Oreochromis niloticus: one gene and its partners. The protein of the gene in region 2 purifies or fractionates together with the protein of the main gene of each other region. This does not show direct contact. Links are inferred from orthologs where the notes say so. Each region holds a gene or a part of one and is shown on either strand. Other genes may lie near its edges.

Region 1 (7,450 bases), on a different chromosome or scaffold from region 2:
GTCTAATGTTTGCGTTTTAGGAGCGTCATTAGCACTGCAGGACTTCTCAGGCGAAGCCGTTGTGTCTTTGCAGTGATGCTTATCTTTTGCTGAAACGCAGGGAGAGGTTGAAGCAGATGATGCAAGGGGCTTTAAAGGAGATGACGTGTTGTCCTCAGTCAGATCTATAATCATGTTCTCATCTGAAGTTGCGGCGCGTCTGCGGCTTATGAAGCCATCAAGTGGCCCACGACCGTTAACCAAAGGTGGGCCACTGCGCACAGAAAGAGGAGAGGATGCATTCTCATTCTCCCTGTCTGAGACTTCAGGTTCAGGGCAGGAATGGGCACAGGGGCGCTTAGGTGGCTGGTTCTCTTTAGGTTCAGGGTTCAAGCGCTTGAAAGGAAGACGGGCTGGAGACAGAAGAAAATACAGATCATTTGGAGCTGCACCACTGTGTATGATGCAAGACACAATTTTGATTCAATATATTGATGAGGGAAAAAGTAATACATAAAGTCTAGAGGTAAGTAACAGGCACTGTTAGTGCAAAGTATAATTTTACAGTACAGAAATTATGAAACATTTAATCTGCATTGTCTCATTTCTCATTGTCAAGGGTAATATGTTTCACAAAATGTAGAAGTAAAAATTAAACATTGCATTTACCTTGTACAAGTTTCTTGCTGGCATTGTTACTTGACTTACAATCCATGCCTGAAAAATGAAAACAGACACATTAAAAGATAATTAAAGTAAAATGTCACTTCATGATATTAATTTGTTTTAAATAACCCGCCAGTGAAAGTGCTCAACAAGAAGGAAAAAAAAATTATATAATAAGATTTTATAAATATTAATACTTACTTCAGCAATACTTTATCAATTCTTTATTTATTTCTGATAAATCTTTAAGTAGAGAAAGGGAATTTCTGTGGAAACAGTTTAGGAGCACTGTTTTGTGATGTAAAAACATGTCACCAATGGCAAAAGTAATTAATAAGCTTCGAGACAAGTGACTGTAATTAGTTGGAATATTTGAAACATCTGTGCCTTTTAGAAGCAAATAAATTGCTTTCTAAGCTCCAATTCAAATCAGTTGTATTGATACAGTGCCAATTCACAACAGTCACATCAAGGCACTTGAAATGGTTTTGATGGACTGAAAAAAAAATACTGAACAGGTTTTAAACTTCCAAGTATCATTATCTATCTTGGAGCCTATCCCAGCTGTCTTTGGAAAATGACTGCTATTGCAAGTAATACTTAAAACACAGCGTTTAACGTTTTTTCGTATGTACACACAATAAAACAGTTACACTCATGCTGGTAACCTGTTGAGGCCTACTTCCCCCTCCCCACTCCCAGCAGAGTGATCAGACTTTAGGAGAAGTGGACCCGTTATCAGACCGATATTGGCATTCATCAATAAAATCTTTAACAATAGCCATACCCACACAAAAAATTATATTTATCCATTTAAAAAACAAAACACTGGCAAACCCACTAAACCGCTTTTTAGTGTTAAGACTCTGCTTGTAGTAAAATAACATTTACTGACTAGTGTCATAACAACAGTCGGAAAAACAATACTAATCGATTGGCATTAAATGTATTTATCTGAGAGTAAAAGTAGCGCTTGAATGTGCTGTATTAACGGCACAATACGCTGCAACAACAACATTACACCGAGTATAGTAGCTATGTTTGGCTGGCTCTCCCGCCAACCGGCGTATGCATCGGTGCAACAAGGCCCGGTAGAGTCCACCGGGCAAGCGCCTCAGTTGGGTCTGTCAAGTTAAGTTTTGCCTGCCGAAGCACTGAGCTGAAACCTCCAAATAACAACCGAGGATGGTCGTAACAACACGACACAGTTACAGCAGCCTCAAAACGTCAATGTGTGTAAAGCTGAAGGGAAGGGAGCAGCTTTGACGCGTTAACTGTGACCCCGGCTTTCATGTTTGCTGCTAAGCATCTAGCCTAGCAGCTTTAGCTAAGCACCTGAGGCAGAGCTTTGAGCTGCAAAGTAGAGCAAAAAAATACAACTGTCATTCGGTTAAATGCCTTTAATTGCCAGTTAGAGTTGGATGGATACAAATACCGACCAACCGAAGCCTAGCTTAACTAATTTAAACGTTATCTGACTCTAAAGAATTTCGGATTGGCGTTAAGTGACATTAGAACAGCAAAGTAGCAGGTTAGCTGCACATAGCAGACTTGAATGATTCAAGACAATAGTGTATATTTTTTTTAAAACAATCCGTGTGTGTCTCGTGCCATTGGCATTACCTAACATTAAATAGCCTCGCGAGATAAAACTATTTTTAGCGTTGGATAACTTTATAGTACGCAAATGACAGTTTTGTCAGTTTGTCAACTCTGTGCGTAGTTAAGACAAAACTGTACTTTGTCTATGATATACATGTAAACGTATGTGTGCTGTAATGGCATTCAGGGCCGTAGCATTACCTCTTCTACGAGGAGTCGATGCTGCCAAATGTCCTTCCACCGATGGGTTTTCAGCCGCCAACATCCCAACCACTAACCCGGGGCTTCTGTCGTTAGCTGTGTTCTCCGACAAAGCGACTTCAAAATACCCTCAAGGTTCACGTTAACACCCGAAAATACACCGCGGTAGCAAACCAATATTGTGCTGCTATTCAAACGACATGTATATCTAATTTATTTCACATAAAACATAACGCATACTCCTTCCTACAGCTCCTACATGCTCCCCCGGTTTACCCTGCTGCCTGCCTCGCGCTCCTGAGTCGGAATTGGCGGGAGCCTGTTACTTCCATCAATGCTCCTCACTGATTGGTCCAAAAGAAGTTACCGGCTGCCAAGGGGCTGTTTGATTTGTACTACTGCGCTGCACGTTTATGCTACCGTTCACGTTTTATAAAGTTACGAGTTCTTGGTAGAAAGAGAGTTCTAGACACTGTCTGATAGTATTTAAGATGTGAACTGTAACAATAAAAGTCTATTCTCTCATGTCATTCAGTGGTCTAAAACCAATTTAACTTTATTATGCCGACACTGGCCACTCCATAGTGGACACCTGATGCTATGAACCAAAGAACGCCCAGTGTAGCTGATGATTCGGGCTCTGTGATTGGCCGAAGAGTTTGACTTTCTGAAGTCATGGTTGCCATGTTGTGTGAAATAAAAGAATGGGCCGGTATAAACTCCCGACTATCCCAGTGTCCCGGACCAGCAGTTTTTTTGTGTCAAGAAAGCTGCTAAATGTTTATGAATATGTTAATGAGGTTTTCATTTCTCTACTTTAAGATTAAAAAGGCCTCTCCTATACTGTTTACAGAGAGAGGACTGGGTGGAAACGATGTCATGTTGAAGTCACGCGTTTTCCGTTTACCGCTCGAATGGCTGCTGGGACGTGTAGTTCTACTGCTCCCCTGTACTTGCCGAATATAAACAGTTTTGAACTACAAGTGCTGAACGGGTAGCGCAGTCGCAGATGATGGGTCGAAAAAGCGCATGCGATTCTTAAATGATTCCAGGACCCCACCGGTGTCGTCGACCGAACCGCGAGGAAATTCTGTTACCCCGGTAAAACCGACGTGTCTTTGCTGTTCTTTTGTTGTGCTTTTTCACGCCTTTTCGACTGCAGACCATTGCTATTCAAACAAAGCAGCAGCGTGAGATAAAGAGTCACTGAGCTTATATCTGCTACTGTACGACAACTAACTGCTTAGAAACACGCCTTAGCTGCTATCAACTCTAAAATGTCTCATGTAAAGCAAACAGTTAATAACTTCACGTTGGTATTGGTAAAACATGAACGTGTTCCTGTTGGCGTATTGAAACTGATATACAATTTGAGCAAAGTTGAAATTTGCAGTTAGAACTAATTAGAGGGTTTACTGCTCCTGCAAGTGGTCGAAGGTTAACGTGCATTTGTAGTATGATAATCAAGGTTAGCACTGGCAGAAAAATTAATGGCAGTTAAATATAAAATTTAAAAATGTGTGGAGATTTACGTCTCTTTTTTGTATATTCCTCTTTTTCAGGGAAGACGTGGAATTTCAAAATGGCAGGTTTGTCACTATCTGTCTATCTAAAGAAGGGGTGGGCTGCAAAGTACTTGGAATACAAATTTTACACCCTGCAAAAACCTTCCAGTGGGCCACATTGGACCCCTGTAGCAGGCCAGTTTTGGCCTCCAAGCCTCATGTTTGAAATCTTCTTATTTAAAGTACAACTCCACTATCCCTCAGTTTCTCTCTCTCCCTCCCTGCACTGTATTCAGATATATTCAAATAAAAAGTATTACCATGACAGTACTCTGATGATGTAATCTTGCTTCTTGTTTCAGAGCGGGCCAATAACTTTCCACCCCTGCCCAAGTTTGTAAAAATAAAGCCATGTTTTTACCAGAACATTGAAGAGGAAATACCTGGGCCCCACCAGCTGCTGGTGCACAGAGTCTATATCCTCTGGATGAGTAAGTGTCTTCAGTTTCTTCAGAACAGGAAGCACATGGATTCCTTCCATTTTTGCAGAGAAAGTACTGATTTCCCTTTCTTTTTTTCACGCATGCTCATCTCTCCTCTTTGCAGTGTATTCAGGAACACTGAGCGTAAATTTGATCGGATGTATTGCTTGGTGGGCCGGGGGTGGAGGTGCCACAAACTTTGGCTTTGCCCTGCTTTGGCTCATCCTCTTCTGCCCCTGTAGTTACACCTGCTGGTTCCGACCACTCTACAAAGCTTTCAGGTCAGTTATCATTTAGTAATTGCCACAAATTTATGAGCAGCTTCTGGTTACACAGATGCATAAATTACAACTTCAGCATAACATCAGATGTACATTAAAAAGTTCTTATAAATGGAAAAAAGAACTCAGATGATGCATTATCAAAGTCAAATGTTTACCCAGGGAGTAAAACTGGCAGAGAGAAAAACGAAAGGTTTTCAAGCATGTTCCAAAGAAGAAGGTTATAATGAGCAAAGGCTCTACGGCAAAAACTGTTTTGTTTTGTTTTCGAGTCTGGAATGCTTAAAAAGCAGCAATAGACATAATATAGATCAAGGGAAAATAAAAAGTGATCTGTATCTAGCTTCATTATTCCAGAGCTATGCCAAAAGGTGCAGGTTTTACTGGTTCCACTTTTACTCTTCACTTTTCTTTTTTTTTTAAAGAACACCCCTGTTATCTTTCCAGGGCTGCAGTTCCAGTTAATTGTTAGCGGCTGCATGAATTCTTAAACCCAATAGTTTTCAGCATTGTACACAAATAATTAAATTAAGTAATTCAGGCCCATGTCACAGAGGCCTGGTTTGCTAACCCAGTTAAAAAAACCAACCATTAACCCAGTTAACAAAACTGGTGAGGGGAGAAAAAACAATCGCACCCATGGATTATGCAGCATTATATGCTGTTATTTGTATTTCCTTTGCTGTGGGCAATACTAAAAGTATTGTAAACAATAGGGTCATTATATATGAGTTTTAAGATCAACTGAAGGTTTTTCAGGGTGCTTTTAGAACAACCCGATAATAATGAATTACAGTACTCGAGCCTACAAATAAAGATGCATGAACTACTTTTTCACCATGACTCTTAGACATGACAATTCTAATTTTAGACATATTGCGCAAATGCAAGAAAGCAGTGCGGCATATTTGGTAAATATGCGCATTGAAGCACATATCCTGGTCAAAAATGACTCCAGGATTCCTTAGCCAAGGTAATGCCATTCAGAGTAAGTATCTGGTTAAACACTGTGTTTCTAAGCTTTTTAAAGTAAAATAAACTTGGTTTTATCTTAATTTAGAAGCATTAAATTAGAAGACATCTAGGCTTTTTATGTCTCTTAAAAAAGTCATAGCTTTGAATCAGTTAGATGTTGAGTGAGCTTAAGAGAGCTGCTTGCACCACGTGTCAAGAAAAATGGTCTAAAAGTATTTCCTGAAGATTATATATCTCATTCAAAGCTCTCAGTTTCAAGGGTTTACGTACTACTTATATCTGCATGTGTAATTTTGTGTCAGTATGCTCAGGAAAGATGAGGAAGATTATGATCGTATCCACCAGGGACATTTATGTTTTTGTTAGCATTTGCGTGCATGCATGTATGTCACTCTCTCTGTAAACATGATGGCTTAAAAAGTTTATCATAAATTATGGTAAAACTTTCTAAGCGTGTGGAGTGGCGTCATATCAATAATCCATTAAAATTTTACTTCCCTCCGCCAAGGTCTTTAAGGTCAGCTTAAGGATTTATTGGTTGAAAATTGACCAAAAGCCTTTTAACTTAGAAACTAGTGTGGGGTGTGTTGTCAACATATAGAACGTACTTTATAAAGATTTATAATATCATGTTACAGTTAATCTCTGACCTTTCCTTCAAGGTAATAGATTCATCTGAAGCTCAAAGTAATAATAAGGCTATATAGAGATATTTAAAATGACAATCGGTTTTCAGACTGACCAGAACATCTTGGCATGGGATACTTTTTGTGTATATTTGATTAATTTTATTATGAATTTGATCTGTACATTACAGTAAGAGGTTATAACCTTTAAATGCAGAACAATTTGAATATAAAGGACATGTTCCTGAATAAGTTATTTTGTTTTTTGGGGTGGAGGAAACAAACTTAACTTGTGATGAAAAAACTTTTTCAATTGGTACTTATTACCAAATAGTTTTAAAAAAAAAAACTAAACAGTGAAATGAATGCTTCATGTGTACTATATCCACATGAATTCAAGGTTATCGGATTACAACATCCATAGCTTGAAGCTTCTAGTTGAGCTTTACAGCTATCTCAATTAGGGATGGACCGGTCCGATACTGAGCTAAATTACTGGATCGGATATCGGAGAGAAATAAAAAATGTAATCCGATCCATTAAATATCACAAAAGCACCTCAAAAAACTCCAGCTCATCACTTTAGCACGTCGGAGCAGTATGCGTCACGTGATAGAGCAGCTGGGGCGTGCGAGACCTCTCGGCGGTCTGGTTGAGCATTTGGAGCCTCGCTACAAAACCGGAATTTCATCTCCGAGAAAGCTATCCCAGAGAAGTAAAGCAAGTGTGTAATTTCATCTCTGAATGTTTGTAAAGCATTCCCACATTAAGCTTAAAAACCCATATATGGAGGGACTACCTCTTCTTCTCTCCCTCCCTCTCCTGCTGCTACTTCAATCATGAAACTGATCAATGATCAGCTGATCGGCTTTTCTGTCGCGAGTCCCGTCTCTCTTGTTTGTTTATCGCCCACTTTGCGCCAGAAACAGGAAACTAGCGGATAAACAACAGCAGCACATTTAAGCTTGATAAGCTGTTGATAGAATTTATTTAATATTACTTTCTACACCAGGATCCTTTTCTACGCAGCTGACGGCTGGTAACTGTCCAGGGGCGGATCTAGTAAAGTTTAGCCAGAGGGGCCGATAGGGCATTAACAGGGAAAAGGGGGCACAAAGACATACTTTTCTTTC
Region 2 (7,183 bases):
AAAATTAGTGACAAGCTATGAAGGAATTTGTTTTGGTTAATCTGGATTAAATCCAGCAAGAGAGAGTGTTTTGCTTTTCTCAGAGGCTTTATCAGTCACGTCCACCAATCCATTTGTTAGATGTCAGGAAAAACTGAACCAGCTAACAGCTATCAATCAGCAAAATGAAAATAATTTCTCCTCAAACAGACAGATATAACAGATCAACACAGCAATGCTTTGCGTTGCTCTCACCACTGGATCTTTGACTGGAGTTATAGGCTTCTTCGGAAGAACCACTGAAAATGAAGGATGGAAGACAAACAAATCATTAATCAGGCACAATCACTCCATTACATCCGTGCATCTTCATAACTAAACAGCCCGACTTACAACAGCCAACAGCAATAACGTCATCGTCGTCGTCATCATCGTCTATCTCGATGACTTCAGAGGACAACACAGCTCCGCCTCCCTCGTCCTCCGAGCTGCTCTCTCGGTAGACGAGGCCGTTCTTTCGGTAAGTTGCCTTCACCAGTTTCTCACACTCCAGTACGGACCTGAGGAAGAGGGGGGAGGAAAGAAGTGAGCGAGAAGTGTAGAAGAATTAGTTTGTACACCAATAAAGACACAGCGTTTGATCAAAATGAAAGAAATATCTTAATTCCCGCTCACTGGTTGGCATCACGGAGAAGCTTCTCTGTCCTAGCCTCCTCCTCCTCCTTCTGCTCCACCCATTCCTTCAGTTCTGACAACTGAGCCTTTTTCTTCTGCACAATCTCGCTCTTCTCCACAGCTTCTTCAATCCATTTCTTCAGCTCGTCCAAAGAAACACCCAGCTCTTCCTCCAGACTGGAGTCCCAGCCGTCCACCTCCATTCTGGGAAAGGAGCACAGAAACATCTCAGTGTGTATTTATTGCTCCTTCTTCCAAAGATTCCTTCACATTTGCCCGTTAACGTTCTCTCGCACACGACGTAGGATTTTTCAAGACTAATATTGATATTTGGTGATAAAAAGTAGAATATTCTGATATTTCAGCTGATATGTTGCTTTTTTCTTTCAGACACGTGACACATAACAAATACTGAGTAAATTCGCTTATGTGTAGTTAATCATTTACTTCTTTGTTATCTGCCCAACTGTGCTCAAATAAGCTGGATATTATTTTTGCCCTGTGACAGCACATGTGATGTGCAACCTTTGATAGGCAAGCTGAAGTATACTGGCCGAAAAGCGAATCAGGATCTGTAATTTGGCACAGACAAATCAAAAACTGTCTGACTATCTGCAAGGTAAATTAAAAACAAATAAATAAAATCAGATAACAATTAAAAGCTATCATGTAAATTCCCATATTTGAGTACCTACTAATAAAAAAACAATTTCTGAACGGTACATAGTTGTATTTCGCAATAATTCAAATTAAAACATGTAGAGTACTTCTTAATGTGAAATTCTTGGTCAAAATAAATTAGGAAAAATGTTATTTTCATTCAAGTTTCATGCTGGGCTAAGCAAATATGACGTTGTGCAACAAAAATGGAGTTTCCACATGTAACTACTACATTACTGAGTTTGTAATGCGCTGTTTTTTATGATCACCCCTATAAAGTACCACATTTATCACATCAACACCAGCCACACACACATAAACAGTAACCACCAGTGCATCTCTGATCCTCCGTCTCTATCAGCAGTCGCCACACGTCGTGGCGAAGCACTCTGGTGCTCTTTGAGGCAAGTCCAGGTGTGCCTGGGAAATTTGTGTCAACCAAACAGTAATACTGTAACTGCACAGAAAGTCATGAATGAAATTTAAATTCACTAAACACCAAGGGCCCTGACTGACACCTTAAACTTGATATTGAAGAGGATAACACGTCTGAGGAGGTGAAACTGATCATCCTCTTGTGTGGAGAAAACCACATACACACAAACTGTCAAGAGGAACTACTCCAACAGTCAACACGGTACCAAGGAAGTTAAAGAGACACCTGGAAACCTGAGATCCTTCTGAGAGAAACTTTGCCTACTGTAAAGTGTTGGCTCTGACTCAGACTGAGCAGGAAGGTTTGTTGGATTGTGAGGAAGTGTCTGATAAGGATACACATGTAAGCTATAAGCTAATGGAGCTGACATCACAGCCAAAGCACATAACTCACAACTCCAGGTAACATAAATGCTGTTTTCTGCAGATATGAGCTGGTGTGCATGCTTGTGCAGTGCATGTTTGCATCATTCGCTTCACCTTAGCATACAGAAACCTACATGTTCCTCTGTGGCAAAGTCAGAACAATTAAAAACATCAGTGAGAAGCAAATTTTTAAACTGATCTGACGCTGCAGTTGATGCTGGGCATGCTCACATGAGTTTAAAATGCGACTACAACATGTCACGGCTGGCTTTGTTTATATGCTACTTCAAACTAGAAACTGCAGTCCGGATAAAGGCAGCAAAGACAGAAGCAGTTTGTAGTAATAACACACGTAATTATTTTAAAGTTAAATGTTTACTCGCCAGTTTAAATGATTATACAGCAGCTGCATAAGTGAATGCACTAAGCTGCTACTGGATAGCATGCAAGGAGATGCACTGAATTACAAATCCACTTAAATGATTTCGATTATTTCCAGTTTTACCCTAGCCTTGCTGCTGACCGTCATAACTGCATTTACGTTTTATTCAGAGGTGCAGAGGAGCTGAGAGAAGCCACACAGGAGCAGGACTCAAGGTAGCGCAGGCTAGCTCGTTAGCCTAGCCTAGCATAGAAAATGGCTCATCTGCTGAATAAGTGAAGACTGCGACTGGAAAAACCAACAAATTTGCGTAACGTGAAGCTGCAGTCAAAGAAACGCCTGCACCTACGTGTAAAATTTCACCCAGAAACAGGACTCACCCCTCAACGGTTTCCATCCTCTTGGCTCGCAAATATTTGGCTAACTAGCCAATGCTACCGGCTAGCTACAATGGGGAGTGCATGCTTTGTTTGTCAGGGAAACCGAGGTAGGCGGTGTTAGCTCGCTTGATACGTTCAGGTCATACCCGCCCACACGGGTTACCCAGGTTTCAGAAAAGTGCAGTCCGGCACACGGGACGCAGAGAGATGTCCCTCCTCCAAGATCCCATAAAAAAATAAAGGATTTATTTAGGGCAACAGTTATATTTTCAATCGCTGCCTGATTTTTGTGTTTCTCGTTACATTAAAAAGACATTACCATCATGAATATATACTGAATAGGGCACAAAATTTACCAGAAACTACGAAAATGAAGGGTCACTGAGTTGAAATTTCCTGGGGAGGAGCACAAAACTCCCAGAGGCCTTCTTTTCATCATGATAAAAAAATCTGCTCCAAAAGTCCTCAAACAAACAAACAAAATTCAAGCCATTGTAACGTTTTTATTTAAAGAATAAAATTGCATCATCGTTTTAGTATAAGTGCAGTCAAGCTTTACAAACACCGCATGTGTGATTCAACTAACTGTGTGAATGTGCACAGAAATTGCTTTAAACAATGATCTCATGGAGTGTTTCCATGCAGGAAATGTTTTCATTACATCAGGCCACTTTATTAGGTACACCGGTTAGACTGCTAATTAACTCAGATATCCCACAATAATATGGTCAAGATGCGGAAGTTCAAACTGAGCATCAAATGGAGTAGAAAGGTCACAACATGAACAGTGTAGGCTGCTGCTGGTGGTGTAAAGGGGTGGGGGATATTTTCTTGGCACACTTTGTGCCCCTTAGTATTAACGGAGCATAGTTTAAATACCACAGCCTACCTGGGTCTTGCCGGTTCCTTTGTGACTGCAGTATACCCAATTATCCAATGGCTGTTTCCAGCAGGATAACACACCATATCACAAAGTTGACAGTGAGTTCACTGAACTCAAATGACCTCCACAGTCAACAGATCTCAGTCCAGTAGAGATGTGATGAAATGGGAGATTTGCCTCATTGATTTGCAGTAAACAAATCTGAATCCGCAGCAACTGTGTGATGCTATCACATCAATATGGCCAAAAAACTCAGAGGAATGTTTCCAGCACCTTGTTGAATCTATGCCATGAAAAATTAAGGTAGGTCTGAAGACAAAAGAGGTTCCAACCCAACCCAGTAGTAGCAACGTGTACCTAATAAGGTGTCTGGTGAGTGCAAAGCAATTATTTAATTAACTTTGGACCGTTAGAATGAGTTAGTCTCTCCTGAAGGATCACTGGGTGTGAATTCCTGCATTTGAAAGAGTGGCTGGAAGCGGCAAAGCATCACTGCAACACAAACCCAACGAAAGGAAACAAACAATAAACTTGTGAAAAATATTAAAAACCTAGAATTTTAAAGATTGGCTTTAACAGATTGTGAAGTCAGTTTGTGAAATACATGCAGAGGGCTATGTGAGCTGAATATTCACATCATATTTATTATAAAAACCACTGTGCACAAAGAGAAGCTCTTCAGTTTTTCTTCCACATAGACACCATTCATCGACTTACTGACACCTGCTACAAGCTAACTTACTTACACAATTTGTTCGATAATAAGTCGCTTGCACGAGAGTTTGCGCAAATAGCTCAAAAACATCGTGTGGCAGAGTTTGGGGAATGAACTGAACATCTGTTTTGCATTGAGAACATCTGCGCTCTATTATCGTGGAAGGGAGGGGATTTGCTTTTGTTGAAATTAAGCCGCTTTTCACAGTGTACTTTCTGGTACAATGAAAAGATTCCACTTCATTCTTAAGAGTCACCCGAGACTTATTGAACTGTTTTCCCCCCTCATAATTTGTCCTAGCATTTAAAAGCTATGAGATATATTACAGAAACTTGTGGGGCATTAATGCACATTTCAACAAATCACATTATGAAACATGCTCTACATTTTAGATGGACGCTTACATGATTAGAAGGTGCAGATGCTGTTGGCATAACTTTTTCCTGCTGCAGTAGGGTAGAAGCTTTATAAAAGTTCAAAGAGGGTCTCAAACCGCTCAGCCCCACTCACTCATTCACAAAAAATGCCTGAAAATATTCTGTGGCGTGTAGGATTTTATTTCTGTTATCCCATCTGTACAGCTTGAACCGGTCTCTGGTCTCCATCACTCCTCCATTTGCTCCTCCTGGTATGTCGTTACAGAGATTGCGCTGTAAGGGTCCAGCACCATCTGAGCACAGCGGATGATGGTGACCAACAAGAAAAAGCAGAGGAGGAAGAAGAAGAAGAGGGCAAACCCGAGATCTACATCCACATCCAGCCTGGCCACAGGGAGGGCTGGAGGGTCCATGTTGAAATATCCAAATAAATCCCAAGTTTATCTGCTTCACAGTTCTCTTCTCATCTGTTGGCTTCGATAAAAGTGCGTCCTTCAGTTCGTCACGTATCATCCAACTCTTCTTCTGTTTTGGCTGTTTTTCCTCTCTGCGCTGACACCTAACATCCTCGTCCCGACGATAAGATTTACTGATGGACACACGGAGCTCCATTTGGCTACCGTGTCCTCTATGCATAGTTAATAAGGAGTTTGGTAACAATCAGGCCGTTCCTGAGATTAGAACACCCAGGCATCTCTTTAGGACATGAGGCCTTTACAGGAGATTACACCTGAGTAGGATCTCAGTTCTCAGTGCAAGGTGTAGATACATGACAACAAGGAAGAAATTGTGGCTGTACACAGTTTTTGTTTTTTTTTTCCTTTTAATTTTGCTCAAGTCAAGTGAGCAGATTGAGATCCTCCAATCTGCTGTGCCACGTGCCCCTGCACAGCCACATGAAGTTTGGGCCACTTTATGGCCTGAAAGAGGCAGAAAGATGAGAGCACAAGATGGTCAAGATGCAGAAAAGGGAGGGGAAAAAAGGGTTGAGGAGGAGAAAGAGGATATGATGCCTTAGTGGCAATCCACTTGAGAGGGTTTGGAATTTGATCCTGACCAAAAAAAAATGCAGATTGCTTGTATTCTGATGCCACTAACAGACACACAAACACACAACGAGTAAAGTGACTCTTTGTAAATAACAGCGAATCCAACTAAAAAGTCAGGCGAGGAGCCGAATTTGTTGAAACGATACTGGAAAAACAAGATTTACAGCACATGCTGTCACTCAAGTGCAACCCAAAGACTGAAGAGGTGACACAGTAAACCTCTCTTAGAAGAGTTGTAGCATTACTACCATCCGTTTTCACCCCCAGCCTGTGAAAGAGAGGAGGGAAGGACGAAGGTGGAACCTGATCCCAGGAGATACCCGCAGATCTCTCTTCACTCATATACAGAAAGGCGAAAGAAAACGGATACAATCCGGGCAAATGTGGTTTTTGTTTTTTTTCTGCAAATAAGAACACAAAACTGTTTAAAGGAAGCTCAAGCAAGGATGGATGTAACTAAAACAAGGACCAATGCCATAAACAATGGAAATACAGTCACCCCCAGAAATATTTGGGTAGTGACATAGTAATTGTACTTTTGCCTCTGTGCAGTATTGCGGTACATTTTAAATCAAGTGATGTACTTGCAGACATCAAAAATGAAATGGCATTACATTAAATATTTTGGAATTACAGTCATTTTTATACACAGTCCCCCATTTTCAGAGGCTCGAAAGTAATTGGATAACTGACTGATACGCAGTTTCATGACCAGGTGAGGCCTGTTTCCATGACAAATGAAGCAGATAGAAAGATCAAAGTGATGAACTTGCATTTGGTTGCTTTTTACAATAACACTCAATATGAGGTTTAAAGAAATAGAAAATGGTTCTTATATGTCACCTTTCTACTCGAGCACTATTCATAAAAGCACTTTTTCCCTACCTAAGTAGGTGCTTTCTAGCTAACATTCACACTCCAGTGCACCCACTGTACAGCAAGCTGGGTTTCAGTATCTTGCTCAGGAATACTGTGGCATGCACACCTGGATTGAACCACCAACCAACCTCAGGCCGACTAATAAATGACCTCCTCTACCTTCTGAGCAACAGACACTACTAGATGTGGGTGCAAATGAAGGATAACGAGAGGCTGAAAACCCCAAATAAACCCACCAGAGAGACAGCAAAAACTTTAGGAGTGGCCAAATCAGCATCATCTGGTTAAAAAGAAGCAATGCACTCACCAGCTCAGCAACACCAAAAGGCCTGAAAGACACAGCAGGCAACTGAAGTACATGACGACAGAATGATTTCCGTAGTTAAGAAAAACCACTTTATAA
Region 3 (7,188 bases), on a different chromosome or scaffold from region 2:
CTCAAGATAAACAACTACACTGTCATTCTTTTTGTCCCTCGCCCAAATTACCACCTTTGCAGCACACTGATTATGTCTGCAGCTTCCTAGCATCAACACGGCGTTACACTGATGTTGTAGGACTGGCCTTTAATGTCTTGAAGTGAGGTACGAACATACCCAAGACACAAATGTACCTTTCCAATTGCGAAACTTGGGAGAAAATTCATTATTAACAGATTTTTGATTCAGTGTGGCAGATAACTGTGCACAGGGAGAGATGTGAGGACAACTCTTTCTTGTCCTTTTTCCAATGTATCCTTGTGAATAACAAGGTAGTTTTTCCCACCTGAAACAGTTCGTTATGAACAAAAACAGTAACAATGTTTAAGTAGCTTTTTGTTGTTTGCTTTAACATTTGATGTCATATTAATCAGAATTTTAAAAAACTACCGGTGTAATATGATCAATTCTATGGTATTAGAAGGCAATTAATTTATCATTGGCCACTGCCACTGCTAGCTGACATTTTTTGTTTTACGCATTTCTAACATATATGAAGCCAATCTGGAAGCGGCTTCTATCTGACAGCTACCAGAAGGTGACAGTTGTGGCTGCAAAAAGAACCTCTGGTTCTACAGAGATCTATGGGGGGGGGGAAACGTTTGTTTTGACCACTAAACATTTTCGTGCAGAGTTTAGGGCTTAATCATTAACTCTGGTTTTTTGCAACCAAAAGGGTACCGGTTGAAACACACATCCAAACTAAATACAATCTTAAAGCGAACACAGGTAAAACTACAAAATGTAGCATAGCATATTACTGTTACAGTAATTGCAAAAACCTGGATTACAGGAAAAGCAGAATAAATAGCTACAACAAAGTCAAATATAACTTTACGTAAAATCGAAAAAAAAGCTTAAAAACAAAAAAAACAGGTTGTGCCTTTAAGGGCTGCTTCCTGTTCTGTAGGGAAACAACTGTCTCTGTAATGAATTACAAGTGCACCATGTGAGCACTGCAGAAGTGAAGAGGGGGAGGTGAAACAAGAAACAAGACATGATTCAAAAAATTAAAAGCAAATATGAAACTCTGGACTTTATATGAACTGATTTTTTTTTAAATATGTAAGATGTTGGAAAATATGATGAAAGACTACAACACTGAAAACTGAGAAATTGCCCAAGACATTTGGTGTCTGATCTTTAGTGCAGTGTAGTGATCATGTACATCTTTCCATCTTTCCACTAAAACCATAAAAGGTGGAGATTTCAGTTTTTAAGTAAACTCACTGGCAGGTAAAAAACTAAACCTGCTCAACTCTTTTCTGATCATTGACTTTAGGCCACACCCACATCCTAGGAGAGTGAAATGGAAAATTACTGGATTGTACCACTTTAAACCAAGAGGGGGAGGGGGCGGGTTCAGCTGCTCAATATGAGGAATGCAGCTTTCTCCTACTCACTTCTAGTCACTTTAGACAGCTAAGTTAAAAAGATTATACTGTAGCAGTGAATTCAGGGATACCATCTAGTAAGAGCTAAAAAACTTTTGTGTATTTTATAAAAAACACCAAATGTTCATTTAGCATCCACAGAAGATCAATAACGGACGCCACAAAGTTTTTTGTTATTTCAACATGCAGCATGCTGATCATATTCGCTGCTTCCTAGCACCAACATGACTACATTGACTTTGTAGAACTTTCCCTAAAAAGTCATAAAATGAGGTACGAACACATCAGAGACACAAGTGTGCATTTCCACATTCTGAACTGGGAAGCAAACTTAAAGTATTTGATTACTTGAGAGATGTAAGAACTCTTTCTTGAATCAGCAGATAGTAAAGTGACTGTTATTCATATAACTAAAGATAAAGACGACTTGTTTCATAACGTTCATCAGAAATCAAAGAATAGACACGTAAATTTTTTAAGGCTCAAAAGTTCTAAAATATATGCTGTATGCAATAAAAAAACTAAAAAAAAACTACCTGAATAACCAATGTAAGATTTATCAGCATTCATTTCAATTTACAGTTTAATGCTAGCATACATGGATGTTATGATTCCGGACTGGTTATGCGAACGACTTTTCTAACACGCACACAAAAAAAAACTAATCGAATATAACCCATTACCGAAAAAATAAAATAAAAAAATGTCTGTAAATAAAAGCTGCAAATAAAATGTTTTCACTCTGTAATATCGATAGAAAGAAAAAAACAGTTTCAATATACCATTATTCATTTAGCGAACATTGACACTGCTAGCTAACAGGGTTTTCATTATGCATGTCTGCTGTAATCCCGGTCTGTAGGGGTCACTGTTGCATTGTACGCAGCCAACTACCATTAACAGATTTTTTTTTTTCCTAATTCATATCAAATATTTCTATTCAGAACCACAAGTTCCATAAAGGATGGCATTCACTGCTATTAAATAAAAGTACAAATAAGCTGTTTGGGTAGCATGCTAACTGCAGTACCTCACTCACCGAATTTCTCTACGCTGTCCTCCGATGTTCCCGCGATTTTAAGCTTCGTTCCGTACGGTCTCCTCCTCACCCGCTGGTGTCCAAACCAACTCTTACGGACCCCCTGTGTGAAGCACCGGTGCTCTCGGGATGCGTTATCAGTGCTGCATCAAGTCCACGTTCTCAAGATGAACCGGGGAAACTAGTGAACTGTGCCACAACAACAACTGTTGTGTTCGCGGATTCAACCGAGTGCTCCGAGCACCCTCTGACTCGCGAACAGACTCCTCCTCCTTTCGCGCACGCACAAAAAAACTCCAACGGCTGACGTTGCGAGCGGGAGGGGGATTGGTCGTTAAACGACTAACGGTCGCGCAGTCCAGAGATGCAGTCTGAGTGGTTCACTCGGGGTTTTTTAAAGCATCCTGTTGTTCACCGTGCTGAAGTCGGTAGATAAAAGCAGGCAAGGTATGTATATGAATCGCTGTAGGATGTTTTAGGTCGGTTAGTACGGAGGATATGCAGGACTCAAAGAAAATGTGCTGCAGCTTGTAGTTACCCTGCAGCAGCAGGAGCAGGTTTGAGACAGACACAGAGCCAATGAGTGGTAGAGAACAGGCAGCTGAACATTGGCGTGGAGGGGGAGGGGTGTCCAGACAGAGCCCAGAGACATTAATGCTAAGGGGAAGGGGTTATAGGGAGGGGGAGGAGCCTTCTGCCAAACAACAGCCTGAAAATTTGTCTGTAACCTAACTACAGACAGTGGTGTGATTGTAGTTTTGTAAACCTACACTTACAGTTACACATGACCTGCTGCATCTGCAAGCATGGTGGTTATGCAGGGTGTTAGGCACCTTGAAGTGTTGCACTTTCTACACGGAAGTGCACACATGAGAAGAGTCCACCTGAAGGTCCCAGCGAGTAGTTATGTTATGTTATTTATTAGAAACAACAGCCTTTTTACAGTCATTTCCTTCTGAGATCACAAAGCATTAATTCAGGTCAGCCATTTTGTGCACTCACTTGTGCTTGAGGAACTTGCTGTTCCCTAAGAGGCCAGCAGGGGGTGAGTTATAGTGTTCTTATATTCTCATGTTTGTTGGTATTCCAGAAAAGGAATAGCTTAAACCTTTGCACCGCGTGTTGTCTGAGTCCCTTTGCAGCAGAATCCATGTGTTTGGGAGCAGGGGAGCTGGTATCTGTGCTCCCCAAGAGCCTGCTTGTCTCTCTCTTTCTCACACCCTTTTGCACACCAGACATGTCTGCAGTGCTGAAGAAAGCAGCCTTGAGCTTAGACAAGTCACCCCCTGTGGTCATATCAGCTAGGCTACACTGTAGCTTAGTCCTCATACACTGATATTGGGGCATAAATTGAACACACAGCAATGAAAAGCATTTAGATTTCCCTTCGCTTAGGCAGCACAAGCAGCCTGAAAATAGCCTGCATAGCTGAAGCTCTGAGTTTCGTGAATCACCGTTTAGAGTCCTCAATAAATCATAACACGCTGCTTTGATGGTAGAAGTATTTTTGCATAGTTACCCGTGCAAGTGAGGAATAAATCCTTTTAAAATTAGAGTACTTTTCAATATTTTTGTCAGGATTTTTTAAAGTTCCTAATGCTGGAAATCTCACTATAACGCCAGGTGAGCTTGTATGTTTCGGCAGAGTTATAAAGCTGTCTGTACACATGCCTCTTTATTTAAAAAAATAAATCTCAATAAGCGCATTTGTTTCTCTCTGTCTTTACACACTCATCTGTAGCCACAAATTTGCTTATTAAAACCCCACAGCAGGCTTGACTTCCTGCAGTAATAAAAAAACTACATTTGTATGCATTAGTTTGAAGTACGCACACTTTCACATAATTCTCCTTGTTGATAATTGTGAGTTCTTGAGTGGTGTTTTTTGTGTATACATGTATTTATAACAGGGTCCATTCTTCTCCAGCCTGAAAGCAGAATTTTTCCATGTTCCTATTTCCTCCAAATATACCTTTGCTAAGATTTGCAAGGTTGCAGTCTCAGCTGAGGACCTTAATTGAGCTTTCAGAAAGGCGTTGGCTTATCCAGAGGTCGTCTGTGCGTAGGTAAGGTCTCCCTTTACCGATGCTGATCCGGGTCCCTTGTCATCATATGGAGTTTTCAGTCGGGCTTTCTGCCCAGCACTTCTACAGTGTTCCTGTAAATTACCATTCTTAATGATATTATAATAGTCTTTTAAGTGTCAGTTAGCTTAACTCGAGATTTCCTAAGTAGGAGAGCAAAGTTTGAGTGGTCAGAAAATTTGTCGGTACAAGTCCATTCACCCACTCTCTTCAGGGACGCCAGGGAACGCTGGAGCCTATCCCAGCTATCATAGGGTGACAGGCGGGATGCATACTTGAACTGTATGAGACCTAATGAGTTAATTAATGCTGACCTCTGAGAGTTTCCTTGAATGTTTGGGTGTGTCAGTTAAATATATAATTAAATGACACATTTAGTTTCCCCGAAGGGCTTTATTCATCTTTTTACTTTGAAATTTAATAAACGTTTAATTTGCCTTGAGGTGTCCAAACTTCTGCATGTATTGTAGTGCTTGTTTATAGCAGAGGGAGATTTTGGGTAGGCATGAGGAACAGACACTTGTTTTCGGTATAATTTTATTGACTTTGTGAAGCTAAACTTAAACTAACAAGCTAAATAAACCTCCACAAAAACTATGTTGTCTGTTTCAAATAGAAACAATTCTGGAACGAACAAACAATTCTGGATGATCATTTTTAATATAGTTTAATACCAAAGCCCACATGAAATTTAGCTTTAACCACCATCCGCACACACTGTTTTTAACCTTAGCTGAACATGACAAGTCAGCTACAAAGCCAATGATAAAGGTACACCACAGAAACTGTAGCTCACAGTAAACCACATTCACGATCTGCCAGCCAATGTGTCTACATGGTGTGCCATGTCCTTTAGAGTCTCAGCGTAAACAAGAGAACGCCAGAAAATCATATTAAAAATTAACTAAAGCTCTTTATCAGCACAACAAAGGGTGCAAAGTTTCGAATCGAACTTTAGTCAGTCTTTAATTTGCCGTCTTCCCAATACAAAGTCCACGTAAGGTCAGTTTACGCTAATGCGTGTTGGTAATAGTCTGGTTGTCATGTGCTTCCTGCATTCAGTCAGCTCCCTTCCCTAACCATGCGGTATTTACAGTAGTGCATGTGGGAAGAGGACTGTTTCCTGCCATGTGCTTCATGTCAGAGAAGTGTAAATAGCATCCCAAACTGATTATTCCAGATGGATTTGTGAAAACAGTTTATGTAAAACACTGAATCTGTTACTGAAATGGACCTTTATAAGAGTGGAGAACATACCTCTACATTTGTGCAAAAATAAAATACAATAACACAAAGTTTCCAAACCACACCCACCGTTGAGCCGCCTTCTTTTGATCTCATAGGTAAAGTTTTTAAGTTATTTCAAGGTTGCGGTGCTGTTCTGTTGACAAAATCTGGTCACCGGTGCTGAGGCAGACATAAAAACACTGTTGGGATTGTAAATCAAAAAGTGACCTATTGTAAGTTACTTGTTTCTTTAAAATAAACACAGTTTTACTCCCATTAGTAACTAATTGTACGACCTGTTCCTCCTAAGCATTGCCTGAAAGCCATTGTCTTATAATTACTAGTTATCAATACAATATTAAAACTTACCCAGACCCACGTACCTGCACACATGCATAAAATCTTTACATGTAAACATGATTTACACCCACTTAATATTTTATCCACATTTTCACACAGAATTTCAACACGTTGAACAGTGTTAGTTCATAAGTTAACGTAGCAAAATATTTTGATCACTATATAAAAATAAGGTTTGAAACTGAAGCTAGAGACTAGTATTAGCAAAAATGTCCAGATGTTGTTGGTCTAGTGACATCTAGAGGAAGGGTTTACATTTTATATACATAAAATTGATTTTCATGCTTTCCAGCAGTAGAAGAAGAAAAAAAAAACATCTCCTTGCCTGTATTGTCGCTAAAATCGTAAAGTTTTCTATGAAGACCTTGAGGTAGCAATACAGGAAGCTGAGTCATGTGAAAAAGGGCGTCCCTCCTTGGATAACAAGCCTGCTCATTTACAGCCATGGTTCCAGATACTTTGTGTTTAAATGTTTAGCCTGAAGATGAAACAAGCTTTATTAATTGTTTAAAAATAATGAAAAAAATGTTCTTGGGTACATCAGTCTGTTTAGTAAATTTCATCCTAATTGCTGGTAGAAAAATAAAAACAACAGGACTGTGGCAAAAAACAATCACCATGATTTACTAATTAATATCTGCTAAGACTGGTTGTATAGATGTAACCCTGTGCATGTGTATAGACATAAACAAATATGAAACATTACAGTTTTACTGCTTTTAAGTCAGTAATGGGTCATCGCGGTCTCTGTGTCTTTTCTCATTGCTAGACCTGATTATCCTGTTCTTCCTGCTCTTGGGAATTATTTCTCCGTCATTGTCATCTTTTGTCTAGCATGCTTATGAGTTAGCATTTCTTAAACTAAAAAGTTCAGAAAACATATGGTACTATTGTAAACAATGCTAGGACCTTTCCAATAATGTTCCAGCGTAGTAGGTGGCATTTTCGCAGCTTATCGCTGCTTAATACCTGCCATAAAATGAAAGAACAACAAAAAGACAGACAGTAACTAGCTAGCAAATAGACACCAAACACAGAGGCT

The links.
Region 1: the proteins of setdb1b (region 2) and chaf1a purify together in Homo sapiens (affinity purification with western blotting; 3 studies listed by BioGRID and IntAct, with this or other methods). This does not show direct contact. The link is inferred for Oreochromis niloticus from reciprocal best matches to the Homo sapiens genes SETDB1 and CHAF1A.
Region 3: the proteins of setdb1b (region 2) and atf7ip purify together in Homo sapiens (affinity purification with mass spectrometry; 6 studies listed by BioGRID and IntAct, counting the BioPlex papers as one, with this or other methods). This does not show direct contact. The link is inferred for Oreochromis niloticus from reciprocal best matches to the Homo sapiens genes SETDB1 and ATF7IP.

What each region holds. Positions count from the first base shown.
Region 1 is NC_031986.2:39,743,161-39,750,610, forward strand, and holds the start of chaf1a (chromatin assembly factor 1 subunit A), read right to left. Parts: upstream 3,010-7,450; 5' UTR 2,513-3,009; coding exon 2,449-2,512; intron 697-2,448; coding exon 649-696; intron 393-648; coding exon 1-392. Other genes in the region: scamp4 (secretory carrier-associated membrane protein 4), read left to right, coding at 4,031-4,037, 4,316-4,444, 4,560-4,716. UniProt on the Homo sapiens protein: Acts as a component of the histone chaperone complex chromatin assembly factor 1 (CAF-1), which assembles histone octamers onto DNA during replication and repair.
Region 2 is NC_031976.2:21,682,977-21,690,159, reverse strand, and holds the start of setdb1b (histone-lysine N-methyltransferase SETDB1-B), read right to left. Parts: upstream 3,036-7,183; 5' UTR 2,895-3,035; coding exon 2,878-2,894; intron 2,866-2,877; exon of another isoform or gene 2,847-2,865; intron 859-2,846; coding exon 655-858; intron 540-654; coding exon 373-539; intron 279-372; coding exon 235-278; intron 1-234. UniProt on the Homo sapiens protein: Histone methyltransferase that specifically trimethylates 'Lys-9' of histone H3. H3 'Lys-9' trimethylation represents a specific tag for epigenetic transcriptional repression by recruiting HP1 (CBX1, CBX3 and/or CBX5) proteins to methylated histones.
Region 3 is NC_031971.2:24,258,175-24,265,362, forward strand, and holds the start of atf7ip (activating transcription factor 7-interacting protein 1), read right to left. Parts: upstream 3,071-7,188; 5' UTR 2,476-3,070; exon of another isoform or gene 2,467-2,475; intron 1-2,466. UniProt on the Homo sapiens protein: Recruiter that couples transcriptional factors to general transcription apparatus and thereby modulates transcription regulation and chromatin formation. Can both act as an activator or a repressor depending on the context.